Oryzias latipes: one gene and its partner. The protein of the gene in region 1 purifies or fractionates together with the protein of each later gene. This does not show direct contact. Links are inferred from orthologs where the notes say so. Each region holds a gene or a part of one and is shown in the gene's direction. Other genes may lie near its edges.

Region 1 (8,519 bases):
TGAAATGAATAATTGGTGATTATCTTTAATACAATACAATTTTCCTGTAATAAAGGGTGAAAATGAGTCCTTCTCTAAAGTTACTATAAACTGAGTTTAGTTTAGTTTTCAGTAGTATTTTATTAGTTTAGTACTATATAAAATATGAAAGTGTTTTTTATTTGTTTTTTTTTGGTCTGAGTGATCAGAAAGATGTTATTAAAATTCAGCAAACAGTTGAAAAACAATTCTTCTTCCAGGCAACCCAATCTACTGTAACTGTTACTTAAAGCCTCTCAAAGAGTGGGCGACCGCCAAAGGTGTGAAGCTGCTGGGCGCCTGCACTGAACCCCCACATCTGTCTGAGGAGCTGCTGCAGGAAGTGACCTCTTCGGATCTACGCTGTCATGGTGGGAGTCAAAGCCTGGGTGAGAAGGAGGAAGAGGAGGAGCAGAATAAGGAGGAAAACAAAGGAAACATCACAGCCACAGCCAAGCCCAAGCAGAGAGTCAAATGTCCTTCTAACTGTAAATGTGATGTAAGTTGTTTTTTTTTTCTCAGAATAACCTCTTGACAGTTTAATCATTTTACAAATACGTTTTTTCTTTTTTTATATTTGACTCATAGATTGAAACACATCATGCTACATGTGAAGGCCAGGGTCACACCAAAGTTCCCAGAGGCTTCCCAGCAAAGACGCAGCTCCTTGAACTCCGTGGAAACCACTTCCACTACCTTCCAGCCCTCAGCTTTCCAGGCACTGGGAAATTAGTTTCTCTTCACTTAGAGTCGTGTGGAATCCATGAAATTGAAGGTGGTGCCTTCCAGGGAATGAACAGCCTGCTTTATTTGTATCTCTCTGACAACAACCTCACATTGTTGGATCCAAAGATCTTTGCTGGAATCCAAAATCTCACCTATCTCCACCTGGAAGGGAACCAGCTGACACAGTTCCCTGGATCCGGTCAGTGTGAGCTCACTTTAAGTATTTTGTTACTACAGATAAAGAGAACTGACTGACATTCTGCTTCTGTGTCTCCTAACAGCTCTCTCTCTTTTACCAAATTTGTTTGTGTTACACCTGGAGCGTAACAATATTTCCAAACTAGAGCCTTCCGGTTTGCTATCTTCTGTAACTCCCACTGAACTGTCCTTGAGTAATAACAGCACAAATGTGATGGCCAGAGGTGCTCTCACCTCTGCTTCCATTGGATGTCTTTACCTGGATTCCAACCGGCTGACTGAGGTGCCGACTTCCGCTCTAACCAAAACCCCAAACTTGGAGGAGCTCAGCTTATCTCAAAATCCTATTTTGAGGGTTGGACGAAAGGCATTCCAGCCCATATCCCAAAGTCTGAAAAGGCTTTATATGGATCATATGGGAATGGAAAAGGTAGGAGATTCTAGTTCTCCAAGATCCTCTTTCATCCAAATGGAGTATTTGATTCAATCTTTAATTTTTCCAATTAGTTCATTTTAGACTGTGTGATTGGTTGGTATTTTGAATTTTTCCAGATGTCTGAAGATGCATTGCAGGACCTGGGCTCAGCTCTTAGACATCTGACTGTGAGGGGAAACCAGCTGAAGGAGCTGCCTGACCTGAGACCACTTACAGGCCTGGAAGGGGTGGACCTGCGAGACAACCCTCTGCTGTGCGACTGTGCTTTGCTGCCCCTACGCAGGTCAGTGAGGGTCCTTACCAGGGTGCTGGAATCAGAAAAGGGGAGTTTTCAACAATTATCAGAGCCCACAAATGTAACATTGTACGGTCAGTAAGCTCACATAACTTTTTTTGTGTTTTTGTGTACTATCTTTGTGTTTCAGGTGGATGGAGAGTGTGAGATTTGAAGTTACAGCGACTTGCGGTAACCCTCCTGACCTCAGAGGTCAGCAAGTCAGAGACATTAATGTCTTCGCATCCTGCTCAGAAAACGCCTCCATTAAGCAGGAGGGCAGCAGGGAGCCGAAACTTTCTACAATAACCAAACCAGGTTCTTTGAAGCCCCCCAAAGTGAAAACTAGACCTGCGAAGTCGAAACTAAGCAAATCATCTAAGAAAAGGTTACAAAAAAAATCTGGGACTCCAAAAAAGACCATGAACAAGATGGCATTATAATAAAATGAATCATGTTTTGGTGGTTTCTTTACAAAGAGTTTTGTTTGGGAAAAAGTTCAACTTTTTTGTTTTTTTATTAAAACTGCTTCATACAACATGTTGTGTGCACTATCTTCATATTTTGTAGGCAAAGCTACTCTAAACAACAGAATACAACTTTTCAAAAAATATTAAAAGTCACAAAATATATAAGTTTATTGATCCTGTTGGCCTCCTGTCCGGCCTTCGCGGATTCGGATGGTTCAGGACGTCCAAAAATGAAATGTGCAGTTGGGGAAACGAAAAGACACAAGAGTTTGCATGAATTCTCAAACCTTTTGCAAAAACGGAGAGTTGGAAAAACATGACCTGTTAGGCTCTGTGGCTGTCCGCTCTCTCTGTCCTCAAGGCAAAAAGGCGTTTTTTATTATTAAGTAAGGGAAGATGAAAACATACAAAATACGTCAGTAGAATGGTGTGTTTCTGTCTAGTCTGCATTGCAGCTGTTATGGCTCCATAAACACTCCAGTACAGAAAGAAAGCAGAGACTGCAAGTCAAAAACAGGCCTACTGGTGACCTCGTCACATATTATCTGCTACTGAGGGCAGGAATCAAGCATATTTGTGCAGTACAATATACATGCAAAAATAGAATCCATTATAATAACAAGAAAATACAACATATAATAGAACCCCTGTAATGCATATTTAAAAGAACATAGAAAATATTATGGAACCCCTGTTCACCTCAACAATCGTCAAACATTAAAGTGTCTGTCAATTATTTTATTTTCAAATAATAAATAGCACGGAACACAAAAAGTAGGCCTGTAAGTTAACTTAGCATTAAATCATTTACGGCAGGATGCTAATAATTTTTAAAACCCGTTATATTCACCGTTTTGATGAATGAAGAAGTTCCTGTTTTTAAATTTTTCTTTTTAAAGAAATTGTTAAGCTGCAAAAATGTAGTTAACCTGTTTAGTAGATAGAATTCTAACAATATTCGAATTGAACGTGTGATCGGTGTCTTGATGGTACCTTAATAATTCTTGGCTGTGGCTTCAACATGGTTCCATGGTGTAATGGTTAGCACTCTGGACTCTGAATCCAGCGATCCGAGTTCAAATCTCGGTGGGACCTGAGATTTTTCTTCCACCCTCGTCTATGGAATCACTTACTATCTTCTTTAAAGTTGTGCTTATTTATTAATTAATTTATTTAATTTTTAAATGAAATTCATGTTTTGGTTGTTATTTTATTTCGTCTTTCCCGTCTCAGTCGGTTAAGTTAATGAACTTAACCGACTGAGACTGTTGCTACATCCGGACGGCTTTGTACAGACGACGTTTCAAGATGGCAGCAGCGATGGACGTTGACACACCGAGTGGTGCTAACAGTGGCTCAAGCAAGAAACGCTTCGAAGTTAAAAAGGTCTGATTTTATTTATTACCTGGTCAACTCTGGATTGGTCAAACACGTTTGCTATATAAAAGAAGAACAAAGGAGCCCTGTCTGTTTTAACCTCCTCTAGCTGGTTAACGACTCCTATTAGCATGTTCGATGTTGCCTAGCATAAAGTTAGCTTGCTTAACGAAAATGAATGTGCATTTCTAAATAATGTCATAACTTAGACCATGTTGTGATATTTACAAGATTACCTTCAGTCGAGCGTAACAGAAAAACAGCGTTTTTGAAATGGTAACGAGAGCTATAATCTTAATTCTTTTAATATTTGTTTTATTTTTGTGCTATTCGGATGCTAATTTAGCTTAGCATAAAGCTGAGGTTTCAAGATCTAGCAGCACATCATCTTTTTCTCTAATTTTAAATTTTTGTTCGTGTATTTCACATGTTAACCGATTTCTTTAGATTATTGCTATAAAGTTTTATATATATATATATATATATATATATATATATATATATATATATATATATATATATATATATATATATATATATTCCCTTAAAAGTGCTTATCTGATTTGTGCACCTGACAGGTGCAATTTGATATATTTATCTTTACTGTAAAAGGAAGCACTAAATCTTTCCTGTCAACTATTTTTAAAATGGGGGGAAAAAAAGTGTCATGATGACCAAAAACAAGAAAATAATTCAGGAACATGTTCTTTATATCAGCCATGTCTATCAAAAATGGCAGGAAGGAAATGCTAATATTTTTGATTTCCCTAAAATGTTTTAACATTCCGATCAGTGGACATGTTTAACAACTATATTTTGTTTTCTTTTTGTAATTCCAGTTGCTTATTTCTTTCGATCCTTTCCATTCAAAGTATTACAAGACATTATGCTAGATATGGTTAAAAAAAAGTCTGGAAACGTTGGAACGTTCTAAAACATTTAACTGGTGTATATAATCCTGGGTAACATAGATTAAACATGTGCTCATCTGATTGTTCTGTCCCCCTCAGTGGAATGCTGTGGCGCTGTGGGCCTGGGACATTGTTGTGGATAACTGCGCCATCTGTAGAAACCACATCATGGATCTCTGTGAGTTCACTTTAATGCATTCTCTGATAGCTTCCTGTCTTCATTTTGACTTCAAACTTTTAGCAGAATGAGTACTTCTAAGCTTCTACAAGCCCTTCTTCTCCCAACAAGTTTAGATTTCTGTGACACGTTGCATGTTTTCTTGATCAGGCATAGAATGTCAAGCCAACCAAGCATCTGCAACCTCAGAGGAATGCACAGTAGCCTGGGGGGTCTGCAATGTAAGTTTCCAATTAAATTGATGGAAGACTCAGATTATCTGTGTGTTTTCTGGAAGATGAAATGATGGATACCAATATGAGCATTTAGAGCTAAAGCCCTTAACATTTCTAATTTCTTTTTCACCTGTTTGTCTTCTTTTAGCATGCATTCCATTTCCATTGTATTTCCCGCTGGTTGAAAACCAGACAAGTGTGTCCCCTTGATAACAGAGAGTGGGAGTTTCAGAAGTAAGTTTGATTGATGTCATGTAGTTTTATTGATTACATTTCTGAAAGTACGATTTTCTTTAAAGTTGTTGCTTTAGACATTGCTAAGCTGTTTGTCATGTTTTCACAGATATGGACATTGAGTCGGCCTGCCGCTCACTTCCTGCAAGAATCAATTTCACTGCTTCTTCAATCCCAGCGGCTTGTATTATTTTCCACACTTTTGTTTTAGTATGTTGTAATTAAATGGTGAGCTTGTAAGGTAAAAAGTTTGAAATAATAAATGGAAAAAAACTGGGAATTAACCTTTCATTTGTGTTTTTGTTTTTTTAATACAGTTGACTTTAAATCACATTGATGTTGACAGCGCAGTAACCCTCTTTAAGGACACGAATCTTCAGTGTAAATTAAATCACCACCAAAATGTTTGACTTCTCTTTACCATAGTTTATTGTGGAAGCTGTTAGAAAAATGAGTTTCATCTATTTGTTAAATTCCACACATGACAGAATACTTCCTAAAGACCCACTCTGATGAAAATCTTGTTTTCTGGTGTTTTCAACGTGCTCTAGTGCCTTTTTCTGATGAAGGGCATAAAAGAAAACTAAGCTCAAATTTACGTTCCAAAAATAACCTGCGATTAAAAAAAAAAAAAAGATTCCAATGAAAAATATCCACACAGACTGAAACGTAAACTGCGATAGTCAATGAGCGGTAATTCTATATTCAGATGAAAAAAAGAGCTTTGTGATGAGATTCATGTGGTGGGCAACAAGCGCCCCGCTTTACAACGGGGAGGGGATGGGGCGGGTTTGCTCCATGCCAACACTCCCGCCCACAACTCGGAGGTAAATTTCTAATGAACTGCTGCTGCTCTGCAGAAGCTGGCATGGATTAGGCATCATGAAAAGTTTTCACTTTAATAGAAGACAACCGTTAAAAGCTAGGGAATTTGACAGTTAAAGTACATTTATCAGTGCAAGTAGAAAAGAGGATTAAAGCTGTTTTCCATCAACATTTTTATTGTGAACTTTTCAACAGGAATATTAAAGTTATTTGCAGTTAGCCTTTCACAACAGCATGTACCAGCACCCACGCTTTGGAGTGCGGCCTCACAACCAGGAATTTCCTACTGAGTGTAGAATGGCTCTAGAAAGAGGCGTTGGTTCCATGCAGGAACTGTCCGAGCTGCTGTCGCAGGTTAAATCACAGCCGCGACCCATCAGAGAGGAGGGAGGGGCTTAGCTAAATACCAGGACTGACCCATAACCATCTGTTTGATTTGTTGATGTTGCTAACAAACTGAGGAAGATTTAAAAAAAAAAAAGAAACCAGTGAAAAACACTTTCCATCTTTCTGTTACATTTGCATCACTTTGACCTGCTCCCCTGATAGAACTAAACACACTGAGAAAATGTTGAAAAGCTTAATTTCACTCGCTCCTCCAAACATCATCTCCGTTTTGGTCCAGTCCACTTCTATGGCTGGGGGGGGGCTCCGAACTTGGAACTCAGCTTGGAAGCGAGAGCCATGATTTTGGGGTTGTTCTGATACTTGGAGATGTTTGCCGGATTCTGAGCCACATCCTGGAAGGCGGCCATCACCTCAGGGTCCTGGAGTCAGAAAGAAGTCAACCTCACTGGAGTGTTTCAGGAGTCACAAAAACTGAGCAGAAAACAGCTGCAGTTTTAATTTTCTCAGACTCTCCGTCAGTGTATTTTTAATACAAAGTTTAAATTGTGTTTCCTGTGTTTTGCACATTTATGGAACTAAGGCTTTTCCTTGGGGGAATGTGATAGAATTGGTTCATCTTAAGTTACCTTCATGGCGTTGAGCACCTCAGGATCCTTCAGGAGGTCACCAAGACCGGGCATACCTGCTGGACCTCCGCCTGGGAATCCGGCAGCACCTGGAACATCAAGGAGATTTAAATACTCCAGCACAGTTACGTCCAATCGACTGGATTGTAGGATGGAGGAGGAGCCTATCCACTGGATTGAAGAGGCTTGTAAGAATGGCAAAGATGTTGAATCGCTTTTGATTTTCAAAGGAATCACAGTGAGAGCATCAGGCGTGCAGAAAAACACGGCCACTGCATGACATTACTTCTAATTTACAGATATAGACTGGCAAAACCAACAACTGAACGCCGTTTAACACCATTCTACCTAAATAATAATCAATCGTTATAGTAATTTTCCCGATATTTATTTAATAAATGTCCTACCTAACCGTATTCGTTTTCCTTGTTTGATCATTCAGAAATCATAGCCAAATAAAATCCAAATAATGATCGCTTTGTGCAATGGGTTTGAGGTTTGAGCTGCTAAAGTTAAAGTTGCTTGAATTTCAGTCTTCACAAAATCATTGAAAACAGAGAAATGAAGGACAAATTCAGCTCGTCGTACAATAAAGTAAAACCAATTACTGTTACTACCCTTAAAATATCCCTTAATACAACAACTAAAATTTGCCTTAAAATATGTGCAAATAAATTCAGCCTAAATATAAACCGTTAGAATAATATCTGCTCAAATGAAACGTCGATATTTTCAATAGAACCTGAAATATTTGAGGATTACTTAAATTTGTATTTTGATTTGTGAATGACAGAGCGGAAACAGTTAGGTAGGACATTTAACATAAATATAACATTTTCCATTACGATAAGTAAGTTGTATCATTTAAGTAGAATGGTCAGTTTTCCTGGTCTATATCTGTAAACCGGAGGTAACATTACACAATGGCGGAGATATAGTGTTTTATGATGAGGTCATCCAATGTTTCACTTTTAAATGAGATTATCCTATTAGTTAATGTGAGATCAGAAATGACAGCATGCAGGACGGACAGGTAATCTGACCTGGGAAACCTCCTGCTCCGGCTCCAAAATGTCGGGATTCCTCTTCCTGCAGAAACACAGAAAAGGCAGTGAGGGGCGGACCTTTTCCCTCCAAAAGCGAAGAGGAATCCAGAAGAGCTCACCCTCTGAGCACGGGCGTGCTCCTCTCTGGCCTTCTTTATGCGCTCCTGCCGGTCCTTGATCTCCCTCTCCTCCCTCTTGCGCTCATATTTGCGCCTGTGCTCGATGATTTTGTTCGCCTGTCAAAATAATCTTTCAGACTTCGGTCTCTCTCTGCTGTCTTTGAATGCTTTCATAGAGCTGATACCTTCGGCTGGACCTCCTTCAGCATTGCACTGGCGTCCTCGTCATAATCCAGTTTGCAGGCGGTGGCCAAGTCTTTGGCTGCTTCTTCCCAATGACCAAGAAGCCTGCAGCAGAAGACAACATGAGGTTCAGCATAAACACTAAACGTTCTGTCATTCTGCTGGACAACAATTGAATCAGAGCGTAAAGAACGTCTTCTAAAAGTAGTTCAAGTGAAGAAAATACGATGATCAACAGTTTAAAACACTTTTTTATATTTTACACCCTCATTTCGGCCTAAGTCTTCCTTGGAAAAGAAATCTTATCTTAATGGCATTTCCTGGTAAAATAAAAG
Region 2 (8,014 bases), on another chromosome or scaffold:
GGTACAGGCAGCAGCAGCTCGGCGGTGGGTGGGTCTGGCAGCTCCACATCTGGAGAAACGAAGCCAGAAAACATCTTGATGTGGATGACCACGGAGGACGTCTACGCCAACTGCCCCACCCTCCTGGGCAAAAGAAAGACAGATTCACAACGCCCCCTGCAGCAGCAGGAGAATCAGCAAGGTGGAGCAGTGGCGGATGGAGGCCAAAGCAGTGGGGGCGAGTTCCCAACAGACGTGACCTTTGATGAGGTGGAGCTGTCTGACATGGAGGAGGACGTTAAGAACCTGGTCTGTCGGGCCAGGAAGCAGATGGCCAAAAAGAGCGACTTCTCCATCAACATCATGCACACCATCCACGTGCTGAGTGCCTACGCCAGCATCGGTTCACTCGTCGGCGTCTTTAAGGAGACTGGTGCCCTCAACCTGCTGATGGAGCTGCTGTGCAACAAAGAGACACAGACGCGCCGCAGCGCTGGCAAGATGCTGCGGGCGCTTGCTTCACATGACGCAGGTAAGAACTGTCCTGCTACATACAGCGCAGCAGGGAGACGACCTCTCTGGGGGTCTGGGTTTGGTTTTGGTCCTGCAGAAGTGCTGCTCTGTTGTGATGGTGATGCACTATATGTGGAGCCTCACAGGGAGGTCTGTCTTTATCCGGCAGCTGTGCATGCTTCAACTCTAACTCAGTCTGTGTCACATGCTTACAGGGTTATGCAAAACTTTCACTTGGAGAACACTGAGGAAGTGTGAGTGTGCATGTTTGAGTTTTGTGGCTGGACCACACTTTCTGTCAGAATGTAGAATTGTAAAATCTTAATTCTTTTCTCTAAAAGTTAGTGTGTTGGAAATGTTTACCTGGAACAACAGGTGAAGGTGTGGATCGAGCTGTGAGGGACATTTCAGGGGGGAACTGCGGGGGGAGCAACAAATAAAGCTATTACAGCTTTTAGCAAAACTTTAGGTGGAGCTGTGAATGAAATGGGGTGGAGCTGTGAATGAAACGGGGTGGAGCTGTGTAAGCTTTGGCAATAGTTTTAGTCTCATATAAAAGATGTTCCTTTTTTTAACTGAATGACTAAGGCAGGGGTTGTGGTTTAGTGCTTCATCAGTTACTCATACTTAAAGCCCACAGAAGGCCTCAGATGTCCAGCAGCTGCAGGTCATGTCTTTCACTGCTGCAACTCCATAGGACGGGAAGTAACGTTGTCGTGGAAACGGGAAGTACAGCGAATGTTGTCCAGCTGAAAGCGATCTGAGACCCAATCAAAGCAGTATATTCTGGAAAGGTTTCAGCTGTCAGGAAGAGGTGGGCTGATCTTGGACAAATGATCTCAATGGAGAGGAGGAGCTGCTGGAAAATCCTGGTCTTCCGTCTGGATCTCAGGGTTCAGTACCTTCTGTCTGAGCTTGGGTGGTTTTAATGTTTGTTTGTTTTTTCTTTATGTGCATGCTTCAATGATGAACTTTAAATTCCTGACAGACACAATAAAAAAAATCTGGAGAACTGATTGACATTCAAAGATGAACAAAGCAGGAATGAATTGATTATATGATGAGGCAGGGGTCAGTCCTTCTGGCTGATCATCTCTAAATGAAGCAAACACACTTTCAAACCTGGGGCTCCAGCTGTGTCGTCAATTTTGTTCACAACCAACTAGCCTGTGAATGCTAAGTAAACAAACAATTTGAATGTTCAGGTCTTCCAGAAAAGAACAGGTGTGTGTGTATCTGCATTGCCTCGGCAACAGCATCACAAGGGTGCGAGTCCTCTGAAGAACTGGGTCGTGATGGATGGTGTTGACACGTTCCCTTTCTCCTGCAGGCAGCCGGGCCTACGTGCTGCTGTCCCTCAGTCAGCAGGACGGCATTGAACAGCACATGGACTTTGACAACCGCTTTACTCTGCTGGAGCTGTTCGCTGAGACCACGTCATCTGAGGAGCACGGCATCTCCTTTGAGGGGGTGCACCTGCCTCAGGTACACACTGTCAGTCTCATAACAACCCCCCCCACACACACACACACGCACACAAATGAATCAGTTCTAATGTGTTGGTCCGCCGCAGGGACAACCTCCAATGTGTCATTTGATTTTTAACAGCAATAAACATTTGAAAAAGGGATCAAGCTTTTTATTTGGACAGGAATATGAAGTTTTGACTAGTATTTTATAAAGAACATTAAACTGTGAATAAAATTTATGAACCTAAATTTCAATTTCTTAACAATGTTGAAATTAAGGCTAATAATGTTAATTATTACCATGTCATCTTTATACATCAATTAAGATGCTGCATCACTGCTTCAAAGTTTATCAGCAAAAACAACCAATCAATATTAGCTGTTGGAGTCTATTAAAAAAGAAAAAGAAAAGAACATTCTTAATGCTAGATATAACACATATTTAAGCCTTTTTTACATTCTTTTGACTACTGGAACTCAGAAAAGCAGCTTTGCATTGATATGCAACTTTATACGGAAGTAAAGTGCTAATGTGATCGGTGTAGTTCAGCTAATGCTGTTGCGGGGAAAAGTTGCTTCGTGCCGTTATGCAACACTTTACATTAATAATGTGTTGCATATCGGGGCAAGCCGAAATGAAAAGCCAATTCTCTCCACGTCAAAATCAGCTGATTCACGTTGATCGCATAAACAGTCGAGTACCTATAGTAGGTCAGAGAGCCTGGTCATTAAGGTGTTGCTGGCGACGGCTCCAATGTTAAATTGTTAAAGCTTCTTTTCTTCTTTTTCAACATTTTCTGAGTAGTGTCTCAGTAGTTGAGCCTCTTTTCATGATAATCGCCCATTGTTGTATTTTAGCACCAACCTGCTATCTGACGTGCGCCATCTGACAACCTTCCCTCCATAGTGCACGGTGCCAGACAGGTTCTAAGAAACAATTCAGTTCACAACTACAGTAATAAATCAAAGAGCCAAATATCAATTCAAGAAAAATGGCGCCTGAGATCTCTAAAAGTCAACATTGTGACCTGATTTTCAGCAGAGAGACAACTTGACCTCAACTTTCCTGATAACAGCTCAGAAGGACAATAAACTAAGTCTGTAGACATTACAACAAAGAGATCTTATAAACTCTGTTAAATCCAGAAGGATGCCTGTCAATCAGGCAACAGAAGATGGCATACCAACCTTGGACAACAGATAGAATATGGACCTTTTTATTTCACATCATTGCCCTATAATTATAATAAAAAATTGCTTAATCAATTATTATAGATAGTTCAACTGATTCTTCTTTCTCTTTCGGCTTTTCCCATCAGGGGTCGCCACAGCGAATCATCGTTTTCCACCTCACTCTATCATGAACATCTTCTACCCTAACATTAGCCAACTTCATGTCCTCTGTTAAGACATCCATATATCTCCTCTTTGGCCGTCCTCTTGCCCTCCTGCCAGGCAGCTCCATCTCCAACATCCTTCTACCAATATATCCACTATCCCTCCTCTGAACCATCTCAGTCTGGCTTCTCTGACTTTGTCGCTAACACAGGCAACATGAGCCGTCCGTCTGATGTACTCGTTCCTTATCCTGTCTAACCTGGTCACTCCTAAGGAGAACCTCAACATCTTCATCTCCGCTACCTCCATCTCAGCCTCTTGTCTCTGTCTCACTGCTACCGTCTCTAACCCATAGAGCAGAGCTGGTCTCACCACTGTCTTGTACACCTTTCCTTTGAGTCTTGCTGGCACTCTTCTGTCACACAACACTCCTGACACTTTCCTCCAACCGCTCCAACCTGCCTGCACTCGCCTCTTCACCTCTTTTCCACACTCCCCATCACACTGAACTGTTGACCCCAAGTACTTAAACTCCTGCACCTTCTTCACCTAAGTCCCCTGTAACCTAACGCTTCTACCTTGATCCCTCTCGTTCAGACACATGTATTCTGTCTTACTACGACTGACCTTCATGCCTCTTCTTTCCAGAGCAAACCTCCACCTCTCTAGCTGTTCCTCCACCTGCTCTCTACTCTCACTGCAAATTACAATGTCATCCGCAAACATCATTGTCCAGGGAGATTCCTGTCTTACCTCGTCTGTCAGCCTGTCCATCAGCATAGCAAACAAAAAAGGACTCAAAGCTGATTCTTGGTGTAGTCCCACCTCCACCTTGAACTCCTCTGTCTGACCTACAACACATCTCACCACCGTCATACTTCTCTCATACATGTCCTGAACTACTCTGACATACTTCTCTGCCACTCCAGACGACCTCATACAGTACCACAGCTCCTCCCTCGGCACCCTGTCATACGCCTTCTCTAAATCTACGAACACACAATGCAGCTCCTTCTGACCTTCTCTGTACTTTTCCATCAACATTCTCAAAGCAAAACTGGCATAAGTGGTGCTCTTACGGGGCATGAAACCATACTGCTGCTCACAGATCTCCACCTTCTTCCTAAGCCTGGCTTCCACTACTCTTTCCCACAGCTTCATTGTGTGGCTCATCAACTTTATTCCTCTATAGTTGCTGCAGTTCTGCGTGTCACCCTTGTTCTTAAAGATCGGGACCAGAACGCTTCTCCTCCATTCCTCAGGCATCTTCTCACTCTCTAAAATCCTATTGAACAAACTCGTTAGAAATTCCACTGCTGTCTCTCCTAAGCACTTCCATACCTCCACAGGTACGTCATCAGGACCAACGGCCTTTCCGCTCTTCATCCTTTTCAGAGCCTTCCTAACCTCATCCTTTCCAATCTCTGCTACTTCCTACTCCACAACAACCACATCTTCCTCCCTTCTTTCCCTGTCATTTTCCTCGTTCATCAGCTCCTCAAAATACTCCTTCCATCTTTTCTGTACACTCTCCTGGGTTGTTAGCACCTTTCCATCTCTGTCCTTTATCACCCTTATCTGTTGCACGTCCTTCCCATCTCTGTCTCTCTGTCTGGCTAGCCTGTACAAGTCCTTCTCTCCTTCCTTTGTGTCTAACCTGTCATAAAGCTCATCATAAGCTTTCTGTTTGGCCTTTGCCACCTCTCTCTTCACTTTACGCTGCGCTTCCTTGTACTCCTGTCTACCTTCCTCAGTCCTTTCTACATCCCACTTCCTTTTAGCCAACCTCTTCCTCTGGACGCATTCCTGTACTTCCTCATTCCACCACCAAGTGTCTTTACCGTCTTTCCTCTTTCCAGATGACACACCTAGCATCTTCCTACCTGTTTCCCTGATAATCTCTGCTGTAGTTTCCCAGTCATCTGGAAGCTCATCCTGACCACCCAGGACCTGTCTCAACTTCTGCCTAAATTCCTCACAAGTTTCTTCATTCTGCAGCTTCCACCACTTGGTCGTCTTTTCTGTTTTCCCTCTCTTCTTCTTCCTGACCTCCAGAGTCATCTTACACACCACCATGCGGTGCTGTCTGGCTACACTCTCTCCTACCACCACTTTGCAGTCATTAACCTCTCTCAAATGACCTTGTCTACATAGGATGTAGTCCACCTGAGTACTCCTACCTCCACTTCTGTATGTCACTCTATGTTCCTCTCTCTTCTGGAAGTAAGTGTTGACTACAGCCATTTCCATCCTCTTTGCAAAGTCCACTACCATCTGTCCCTCCAGATTCCTTTCCTTCACACCAAACCTGCCCATCACCTCCTCATCACCTCTATTGCCCTCACCAACATGCCCATTAAAGTCTGCTCCAATAACAACTCTCTCTCCTCTTGGGATACTCTCTATGACCTCATCCAACTCACTCCAGAATCTCTCCTTCACTTCTAACTCACAGCCAACCTGTGGCGCATACCCACTGTCTACATTCACCATCACCCCTTCAATTTCTAACTTTAGGCTCATCATCCTGTCTGAGACTCTTTTCACCTCTAGAACACTGTTTACAAACTCCCCCTTCAGAATCACTCCTACCCCGTTTCTCTTCCTATCAACACCATGATAGAACAGTTTGTATCCTCCTCCAATACTACGTGCCTTGCTGCCCTTCCACCTTGTCTCCTGCACACACAGTACATCCACCTTCCTTCCCTCCATCATGTCTGCCAGCTCTCTGCCTTTCCCTGTCATTGTGCCAACGTTAAGAGTCCCTATTCTCAAACCTATGTTCCTGCCATTTCCCTTCTCTCTCTGGCCACGGACCCTTCTGCCTCCCCTCTTTCTTCGACCAACAGTAGTCAAATTTCCACCGACACCCTGTAGGTTAACAGCATCGGTGGCGGTCGTTGTTAACCCGGGCATCGACCGATCCGGCATGTCTAAAGTGTTGTGGATGATTCGCATGGTTATTTTGGCAATTTTTACGCCGGATGCCCTTCCTGACGCAACCCTCTCTATTTATCCGGGCTTGGGACCGGCACAGAAGTAACTGGCTTGCTACCCCTGTGGCTAGATTCGATAGTTCAACTGATTGATCTCTAAATATATCACTTCACTTAACCCTGTCAAAATGCTGAAGGCAAAGAAAGCAAAGGTTTGGCTGAACTTCACTACAAAAGATTAATTCAGTGACGTGTACAATGCTCTTAAAAAAGGCTGCCGTTGTGGCAGTGAGCGGGGAAATGCATGTTAACTTCAGCGTGTGTGAAAACGGAGATGCAGCAGTGCACTGTCAGAAAGAAGAAAATAAAAAGGATCTTACGCGCATTCAAGTGCTCTCCACCCTGTCGCGCTGCTTCATCACACTTTAAAGGCTTTAGGAAAAAAATGGCATTTTTTACTTTTCTAAGCGCTGGTTCAAGAACCATTTAGGCATCAGAAATGTTTCAAAACTACCAGTTGACCACCAGCACAGAAACAAATCCTGTCAGTTACCCATCCATACTCAAACTTGTCCTTATTATGTTCAACATGTGCGGTTTTGTTTTGTTCTTACAGATTCCTGGGAAGTTGCTATTTTCCTTGGTGAAGCGTTACCTGTGCGTTACGTCCCTGATGGACAAACTCAACACTGCAGGAACAGAGTCGAGCTCTGAAAGGCAAGACCCGAGCCCCTCCCCCGCCACGTCCTCCACCTCTGTCCACCAGATGGACCTTGTCCGCCTCCAGAAAGAGTTTGATTTCACCATGGCGATGGCCAATTTGATCTCAGAGCTGGTTCGAGTGATGGGCTGGGACCGGAACAGGCAGCCCCCAGATGGCTATACCCACCACACTGTGGGAGGCGAGGCTTGTGCGAGGAAAGAGGAGCTCGAGAATCTGTGCCGCCCTGTCCTTAGGTCCATTTTCCAGCCTCGATTCTGCACCTCACCTATCACTCTCAGCACCAGCTCCCCTACCACTGCGCCCTCTGCCACACCTTCAAAGAAAAAGGCAGGAAATGGCTTCAAAACGCGCTCTGACTTTGCCAGCCGCTCAGCATATGTGGAGTACGTCCAGGACAACTTGAAGAGTGGCATGATGGTTCGCATGCTGGAGGATTATGAGGAGGTTAGCGGTGGAGATGAAGGAGAGTTTCGCTACAGCAACGATGGATCTCCACCTGTGCAGGTGAGAACAGGCCTGGTCTGGCTGACAGGTGCAGGAGGGATGTTACTGGGTTTAAAAAGGCGCCATAAATAGCTTAACATTGACCAATCCTGAAGCCAGCATTCACCAGAGAGCACTTCATGCTGATCAGAGTTACAGAGAAACAGCAGATGAGATGTTTTTTTGCAGCCACCTGCTGAGGCAGCAGTTCTTCCAGATTTTGATGCGTCTCTGACTTGTCAGTTTTCTCTTGCTCTGTTTAGGTTTACTGGAACTCACTGTCCCGAACATACTGGGTCCACTGGCACATGGTTGAAATCCTGGGCGGTGGCAGCAGCTGTAGCCAGGCGGAGAAGGAGACGCAGGAGAAGGCTTCCTCCCTGACTGAGACCCTCAAACTTACCACAGGTAAGAGCCAGTGACTGAACACCATCAAAACCTTCCTTCTGGTTCCGAACCCACCTTGGTTGTTGCTCCCCCACAGTGAGCCAGACTTTCTTCTCCAAGCCGCCTGGCGGCCTCTACTCGTTGCCATACTTGTCGGAGGGACTACAAATGGAGACCACAGC

Evidence for each region.
Region 2: the proteins of rbx1 (region 1) and cul9 purify together in Homo sapiens (affinity purification with mass spectrometry; 5 studies listed by BioGRID and IntAct, with this or other methods). This does not show direct contact. The link is inferred for Oryzias latipes from reciprocal best matches to the Homo sapiens genes RBX1 and CUL9.

Annotation. Positions count from the first base shown.
Region 1 is NC_019866.2:19,406,429-19,414,947, reverse strand, and holds rbx1 (E3 ubiquitin-protein ligase RBX1), read left to right. Parts: upstream 1-3,194; 5' UTR 3,195-3,430; coding exon 3,431-3,508; intron 3,509-4,509; coding exon 4,510-4,588; intron 4,589-4,738; coding exon 4,739-4,809; intron 4,810-4,951; coding exon 4,952-5,037; intron 5,038-5,146; coding exon 5,147-5,159; 3' UTR 5,160-5,324; downstream 5,325-8,519. Other genes in the region: chondroadherin-like protein, read left to right, coding at 240-517, 607-943, 1,026-1,372, 1,495-1,661, 1,804-2,095; st13 (hsc70-interacting protein), read right to left, coding at 6,495-6,629, 6,837-6,925, 7,880-7,925, 8,002-8,118, 8,187-8,289. UniProt on the Homo sapiens protein: E3 ubiquitin ligase component of multiple cullin-RING-based E3 ubiquitin-protein ligase (CRLs) complexes which mediate the ubiquitination and subsequent proteasomal degradation of target proteins, including proteins involved in cell cycle progression, signal transduction, transcription and transcription-coupled nucleotide excision repair.
Region 2 is NC_019873.2:12,800,764-12,808,777, forward strand, and holds part of cul9 (cullin-9), read left to right. Parts: coding exon 1-511; intron 512-1,822; coding exon 1,823-1,977; intron 1,978-6,854; coding exon 6,855-7,466; intron 7,467-7,708; coding exon 7,709-7,853; intron 7,854-7,929; coding exon 7,930-8,014. UniProt on the Homo sapiens protein: Core component of a Cul9-RING ubiquitin-protein ligase complex composed of CUL9 and RBX1. The CUL9-RBX1 complex mediates ubiquitination and subsequent degradation of BIRC5 and is required to maintain microtubule dynamics and genome integrity.